2 linked regions of the Arabidopsis thaliana genome follow. The protein of the gene in region 1 interacts with the protein of each later gene in a pairwise test. Each region holds a gene or a part of one and is shown in the gene's direction. Other genes may lie near its edges.

The links.
Region 2: the proteins of LGO (region 1) and AT3G45700 interact in a protein complementation assay, tested with the Arabidopsis thaliana proteins (one large-scale study listed by BioGRID).

What each region holds. Positions count from the first base shown.
Region 1 is NC_003074.8:3,280,773-3,284,033, reverse strand, and holds LGO (LOSS OF GIANT CELLS FROM ORGANS), read left to right. Parts: upstream 1-1,902; 5' UTR 1,903-1,983; coding exon of another isoform or gene 1,984-2,013; 5' UTR 2,014-2,055; coding exon of another isoform or gene 2,056-2,071; coding exon 2,072-2,458; 3' UTR 2,459-2,728; downstream 2,729-3,261. Other genes in the region: AT3G10527 (uncharacterized protein), read right to left, coding at 1,984-2,013, 2,056-2,358. UniProt on the Arabidopsis thaliana protein: Probable cyclin-dependent protein kinase (CDK) inhibitor that functions as a repressor of mitosis in the endoreduplication cell cycle. Cooperates with SIM and SMR2 to promote endoreplication during leaf development.
Region 2 is NC_003074.8:16,777,099-16,781,781, forward strand, and holds AT3G45700 (Major facilitator superfamily protein), read left to right. Parts: upstream 1-1,614; 5' UTR 1,615-1,666; coding exon 1,667-1,748; intron 1,749-1,830; coding exon 1,831-2,048; intron 2,049-2,550; coding exon 2,551-3,092; intron 3,093-3,165; coding exon 3,166-3,970; 3' UTR 3,971-4,170; downstream 4,171-4,683. Other genes in the region: AT3G45690 (Major facilitator superfamily protein), read left to right, coding at 1-178, 252-705, 801-1,052. UniProt on the Arabidopsis thaliana protein: Transporter involved in a passive nitrate efflux.

The sequences.
Region 1 (3,261 bases):
TCTAGGAAATATGTTGAAACTAATTCAGACAAGATCTATTTTGAATTACATAAATTATGATTTTATTGCAAGGAGTTTTTTTAATATAATTAATTATTATTACTATTATTACAAGTGCATTTTTAATTTGTAGGACATTGTGAGACTTTAAGATCAGTTGTTCTTATTTCTCGATTCCTTTTCCATTTACATTCCATTTAAATCTGGTATTGCTTTTAGACGATTCGTTTTGGCCAAAGTTTTAACAACCGTAAGTATATTGGACCACCGAAACTTCAACATCGATTATAATTGATGGATTCTAAATGCTACAGATTGTTTGATTGTGATCGTATGGTTTCGTGGCCTTACAAAATTACATCGACTTATCCTAATTCCTCATATACATATCTCTCTTTCCGTAAAAATCGAAGCAAGAAAACGTGTCAATGTCAATAAACAAAAAAACAAATTACAGTAACCAAAAGAAAAGAGAGAGAAGAACATAATAAGAGAGGAAGAAGGGTTGACAAAAAAAAGGGCCAGAGATTGAGATCCTGCGAGAGAGATCATATAGATCTTTCCATTTCTGTACTTTTTTAGTTAGATATTACCACTGACTCACTTACACAGATCTACTCTATATACAGTATATATCATCATCACATGCTTTTCTACGTGGCATGTCCAAAATATGTCATATTTTGCCGTAAAATTACTCAGCAAATGTAATAATTAATTACATAAATATACAGCTAGCTTAGCGAGTTTGTGTACATGTTAAGAGTACTGATAATTCTAAGAATGAAGACAAAAAGAACATCAACAACGTATAGCAAAGTATAAACTAAATTTATAATCGTACCAAATCTATTTTTCGGTTGTAATTTAATAATTAGATTTTGTAAACCAATGTAGATCTTACATTAAGTTGAAAAACGCAAAGTGTTTAGGATGAGTAAGCAAAGCAAACTCATGTTACAAGTCTAATAATTGTTCTATGGCATGGCAAAGGCTTACATTTTTTTCTACATTATTAAACTTGGCGTGTAAAACGTTGTGGGTCCACCGTATATGTTGAAATCATAATGTCACATAAAAATTATACAGCTTCTCACATTGGACATTAAGTAATTATTAAAGTAGAGGATACAGAAACTGATGCAATCAATTGTTTACATAAAATATAATGATGCATGGACTAGTTTTAAATCTAATCACATGCCATGTTTTTAGGTTTGTAATAGGTACAAGACACACATTTAACCAAACTTTATGTTTGAGATCTAAGATAAGACATTGATCTAAAATTTGTATATATATGTGTGTACTTTTCTTTACTACCTATAGATGGTATTACTATTACTTTGATGGTTCGAGTTTTTTTATTAAGTAAAAGTTTCTATATAGACACACTTTAATGTTCTTGTTGAGACCATAACCCACACGTCTTTAGATAGGAGACCGATGGTACGAGAACACCATTTGCGTTTGTTTCATGAGTTATGGCCCTCCTTAATTCACTCGCACTTCCAAACTTTAGAGTTTCATTTGTCTTTTGTAAACTTTTTGGGAAATCTCCAGTCATTTTTTTCACTTTTTTTTATTATTCAACAAATATTACAGTACAAAACTTAATATAGCTAGTCATCTTACTAAGGTCATCCCAAAGGTTTTAAGCAATCACTAACAAAATTAGGCAACCCTTACAAATTGTGAATCACATGTGCTCTAGCTAGTTTTGTACATAAACACAAATACATACAAACTATACAAGTAACTTACCATCCCTAGTAAATAATATATTTTTTTCTAAATTCGGAAGTTACGTCCATTTTCCCTTCCCATTTTATATAGTTTTACCTTACTTACTCCATACTATATTTTATATTTTATTTTCGTTTTCCATGCCAAAAAGTAACTCTCATTTCTAAATGCGACATTCTAACTTTATGTATGTATATACGTGTATGTAAAGACACAAACACATATAACAAACCCTTCTCAACCTCTCACTTCTCCAAGAAGTTTTCTCTACATCCACAAAAGAAAAAAAGTTTCCCAAAAAACAAAAACATACACAAGTTTAGATATGGATCTTGAATTACTACAAGATTTGTCCAAATTCAATTTCCCAACACCCATCAAGATCCGATCCAAAACCTCAAAAACAAAGAAGGACGAAGGTGATGACGACGAAGATGACCTCCGCTGCAGCACACCCACATCCCAAGAACACAAGATTCCCGCCGTCGTAGACTCTCCACCTCCTCCGCCGAGAAAACCCCGGCCACCACCGTCAGCACCGTCGGCTACGGCGGCTCTGATGATCAGATCGTGCAAGAGGAAGCTTTTAGTGTCGACTTGTGAGATAATCATGAATCGGGAAGAGATTGACCGTTTCTTCTCCTCCGTCTACAATGAGACGTCGACTACGGCTAAACGGCGGAGAAGTTACCCTTATTGTTCTCGAAGATGAGGCTTAATTCAATATTTACATTTTTTTACAGTTTTACTGGAAATATTGTGAAATTAATTATCTGTTGGTGTTCGGTTTTAAATATTTTTAATTTAATTATGAATATGGATGGATAATTTTCTGCAACCGCGCATATTAATTTCGCATGGAGGGGTCGATGTTGTAAATTGAGTAATAAATGAAATTTAATTCCAATTGCCAAGTTTTCTATACAATAATGTGATATTTATGTCATTTATAAGAGACAAGATCGTTTTATCATCCAACTTCATGGAAAAAATAGTTTCAAAACATATATTGTCGACTTCTAAAGTTGAAGAACGCGTTTACCTACTATGACCGATATGATGTAAAATATCCGCAGCCAATATGAAGGATCAAAATATCTCCTGGTAAAAAAAAAAATTGTGTTATATATGACGCATGCATGTATATGAAATCTTTGAACAAACTTTTGTATATATGTCGCCTGATAAAAAGTTATTTATCAATATATTAAATTACAGTGATGTTAGCTAGTGATCAAGCATTGCTTGCTTCATGAGCAATGGGTGGTACATGTTCTTTTAAATATAAAATCATTGCATTTATGTGAGAATATGATGGCAATCAAATCAAAAGATAACTATTACTCGTATAGTCTCAAACAATATAATGTCATAGAGTTTATTTTTTAATATACAAGTCGATATTTGTACATTTAACGTTTATTATGTTACTGTATCTTAGATTCCAATTTCATTCATCTAGGTTGAACCGAAAACGCTTTGGTACCTCTCACAATATATATTTTTCTCAGTTAG
Region 2 (4,683 bases), about 13 Mb from region 1:
GCAAGAGATACTACAAGCATGACAAACCAATGGGAAGTCCCTTCACAAATCTGATCCGCGTTGTAGTCGCTGCTACAAGAAAAAGGAAAGCTGTGATTTCATCTAGAGAAGAAGACTATCACCATGGGCTTGGAAGAGAAGGCAAGACATCTTCTGCAATGCCCTCCAAGAGCTTTAGGTGAAAAAACAAAAAAAACTTGCTTCATTCATCAAACTTAAAACAGAACTTAAAAGAGCTTTTACATGTGCAGGTTCTTTAACCGTGCAGCATTGAAAACCGAAGATGACTCAGTTAATAACAACTGGAGGCTATGTTCTGTTCAAGAAGTAGAAGATTTTAAAGCCGTTTTCCGAGTTCTCCCTCTGTTACTAGCCATCATCTTCGTTAGTACTCCCATGGTGACGCAAACAAGCTTGATTATATTACAAGCTCTAGTCACAGACCGCGGTCTCGGGCCTCACTTCAAAATCCCGGCCGGGTCCCTCCAAGTCATAGTAATCATCACTGCATGTATTGTTATCTTAATGAACAATTGCCTTGTCTATCCCATGTACCAGAAGCTAGCCCATAAGCCATTGACACCGCTTCAAAAAGTCGGTATAGGCCACGTTTTCATCATTTTAAGCATGGCGATATCCGCCATTGTGGAAGCAAAGAGGCTGAAAACAGTTACTAATGGCCATTCCATGTCAGTGCTATGGCTGGTTCCTCCCCTTGTGATAGTAGGAATAGGAGAAACGTTCCAATTTCCGGCGAATATTGAATTATTCTATAGAGAATTCCCCGAGTCTCTGAGTAGCACCGCGACTTCATTGCCTCAGTGGTGATTGGAATATCTTTCTACCTGAGCACAGCTCTGATCACTCTGATCCAGAAGACCACCAAGTGGTTACCAAATGATATTAACCATGGAAGAGTTGACAATGTTTACTGGCTTTTAGTCATTGTAGGAGTCTTGAACTATTTCCTTGTCTGCGCTTGGTTTTACAGATATAGAAACCTGAATGATGATGATGATCAGGAACAAGATCCAAAAGACGATACAACCTAAGACACAACGTGTTCTGTTCTTGTGGTTTTTGTTGTTTTGATCATCTTGAAAGACCCTTTTTTATGACAATAATCAGACAACAAAAACTCTTTCAACAACTACATAACCACTCTCACTATCTTGCTTAATTCTAACAGAGTTTGAAATGTGAGAAACGTGGTTTGGTTTTTTTTTTTGTTGGAGAAAAAGGAAATCATTTCTGTATTTCCTGATTCATAATTAATAATTTTAAGGTCTTATCATACAAAAGTGACTCAATGATTGGTCGAGAGTATATTAAATTTTAATAAAATTTATTTAAAGTTCTTGAATCTTTGTCTATTTATACTTTTCTTATGCTTGTGGAGTGGTTTACTGCTACTGAAGATAAGGCAAGATATGGGCGATTGCTTTTTAGTTGTTTATTACATTCACCAACCTGATATTGGCAAACGACACTAGGAGATGAACTGTCAGAATCTGATATGAAATTTTTGCCACCAAAAAAGATCACTACCAACATATAATAATTGATATGGATTTGCTTATATATATAGGTTACGGTTGTTATCTAAACTGCATTATAACACTCAAACACAAGTCAAAGTACCTCCTGCTTCCACTTGTTCTCTGCCATGGCTAATTCAGACTCTGGTGACAAAGAAGCGCATCGCTCTAGCAAGCATGGTGGCTGGATCACTTTACCGTTCATGCTCGGTTTGTGTTTTTGACTCTTTTGTTTATGTGAACTCAAAACATAAACAGATGTTGATGATTGTAAAGTTTTTATGTGGTGCAGTTACATTGTTAGGCATGTCGATAACTTATTTTGGATGGGTAATGAACTTGATCGTCTTCTTGATCGAGGAATTCAACATCAAGAGCATCGCAGCTGTTCAGATTTCAAATATTGTCAATGGAGTTGTCAACATGTTGCCTGTTGTCGCAGCCATCCTAGCCGATTCCTTTTTTGGGAACATTCCTGTCATCTCAGCCTCCGCTTTCATTTCTCTAACTGTAAGTTTTAACACTCACCAATTCTTTTATGTGTTATGAGTGTTTTAAAAACGGTATCGGCAGTTACTAGGCAACCGTTTTGACCGCCTAAAATTACACAGACCTAGTTTAAGGCGCTCAGACAATGCCTAAACAACTGTTTCGACCGCCTAAAATGTATATACGCCTAGTTTTAGTGCATTTTCTAATTTTCAAGTAGGTTTTATCTCTATATACATAGTTACAATCGTTCATATATTGTTTTGATGTACATTAAAGAAATGTTTTGTCTATACTTTGTTTACGATATTCTATTTTTATTTTTCTAATATGTATTTTATATAATGTTTTAAGTATAAGCTCATATTTCTAATGTTTTATGTAATAAATGTCTAAACTGGCTAAACTGCCTAAGGTTATCCGACTAAGCGTTTTAGGTGCTAGACACTAGGTCACCGCATGCCTAATGCTTTCTTAAACAACTTCTGATATAAAAGCTTACCTGTTTTGAAACATTTTTCAGGGAATATCGCTCTTGACTCTTATTGCATCTTTGGACTATTTGAGACCTAGACCGTGTGAAACGGGATCAATTTTATGCCAATCACCATCAAAACTACAACTTGGGATCTTGTATGCAGCCTTAGCTCTAGTGATCACTGGAACAGCTGGGACGCGGTTCATCTTGGCATCCGCAGGTGCAAACCAATATAAGAAACCTAAAGAACAAGGAAGGTTCTTCAACTGGTACTTTTTCACACTATATGGTGGAGCGATTACTGGCACGACAGCAATTGTATATGCACAGGACAATGCTAGCTGGAAGCTTGGATTCGGTCTCTGCGTCGCTGCTAACTTGATCAGTTTCATCATTTTCGTCGCTGGGAAGAGACTCTACGAGCATGACCAACCTTTGGGAAGTCCTTATACAAGTCTAGTTCGCGTTTTAGTCGCTGCTACAATGAAACGAAAGGCTGTGATTTCATACAAAGACGAAGACTATCATCACCGCGAGCTCGAAAAAGAGACCAAGACTTATGTTGCAATGCCCTCCAAGAGCTTCAGGTGAAAACAAAAAGCTTTCCTGATTCATGGAACTTAAAAAGAGAGCTAATAAAGAGGGATTTTTATTATGCAGGTTCTTGAACCGTGCAGCATTGAAGACAGAAGGAGACTCAAATAATAACATGTGGAGGCTATGCTCTGTTCAGGAAGTAGAAGATTTCAAAGCCGTTCTCCGACTTGTCCCTCTCTGGACATCTGTCATGTTCCTCAGCGCTCCCCTAGCGGTGCAAATGAGCATGACTGTCCTCCAAGCTATGGTCATGGACCGTAAACTTGGCCCACACTTCAAAGTCTCTGCTGGGTCTATGCAAGTCATAGCACTCGTCTCTGGATGCGTCTTTATCATACTTAACAACTGGACTACCTATCCCATGTATCAGAAGCTAATCCGCAAACCGCTGACACCGCTACAAAAAGTCGGGATCGGCCACGTTTTGACAATCTTAAGCATGGCGATATCAGCCGTTGTTGAAGCAAAGAGGCTGAAAACAGTTGAAAATAGCCATCTCATGTCAGTGCTATGGCTGGTTCCTGCTCTCGTGATTAATGGAATAGGTGAGGCCTTTCATTTTCCAGCAAATATTGCAATATTCTATGGAGAATTCCCTGAGTCTCTAAGGAACACAGCGACTTCATTGACCTCGGTGGTGATGGGAATCTCTTTCTATCTGAGCACAGCTCTTATCGATGTGATCCAGAGGACCACCAAGTGGTTACCAAATGACATAAACCACGGAAGGGTTGACAATGTTTACTTGGTATTAGTCATTATAGGAGTCTCTAATTTCGGCTACTTCCTTGTCTGCTCTTGGTTTTACAAATACAGAAACCTCAAGAATGATGATCATGAACAAGATCTTAAAGATGTTACAAACTAGGACACTAACGTGTTCTGTCCTCGTTTTCTCTATATTGTAGTTGTGTCTTCATGCAACTAACTTATGTGCTACATGCAAACTCACTGTTTGCCGTTTGTGTTTACTTTTACCAATAAATGTTATTTGTATCAAACTCATACCTCAAATTATTAGTATCCTAGCTCCAATGGACCGATTAGAGCTCATGAGCTGTTAGCTAGCTTTTTTAAGGATTCTTCACCTCCTTTATATTAACCAAAAAAAACATGCAATGTCAATTCCTACTTAAATTACATAATAAACTAAAGCTATAATTATAATCCAAACCGATATATAATCTCGTTTAATTACAAAATCTAAACCCTAATTCTTCTTTGTAAACCCAAACCGCCATTTAAACTCATCTAATCGTAAAAAAACTAAATCCTAATCGTAATTTCTAAACCTAAACCGACATTTAACCTCGTTTAATTGTAAAATCTAAATCTGTTTATAAACCTAAACCAATATTTAACCCGTTTAATCATAAAACTAAACCCTAATCGTACTTTCTAAACCCAAACCTTTTGAAATAAACTCAAACCGACATTTAACCTCGTTTAACCCTAGGGGTGAACCCAAGTATTTTTCATCATTAATCAACATAACTAAAAGGGCCAAGAGATAATTAGTATTGTACTTAATCTTAATCATCTAACATAGATATTCCACATTGGTTGTGTGAACAAAATCTA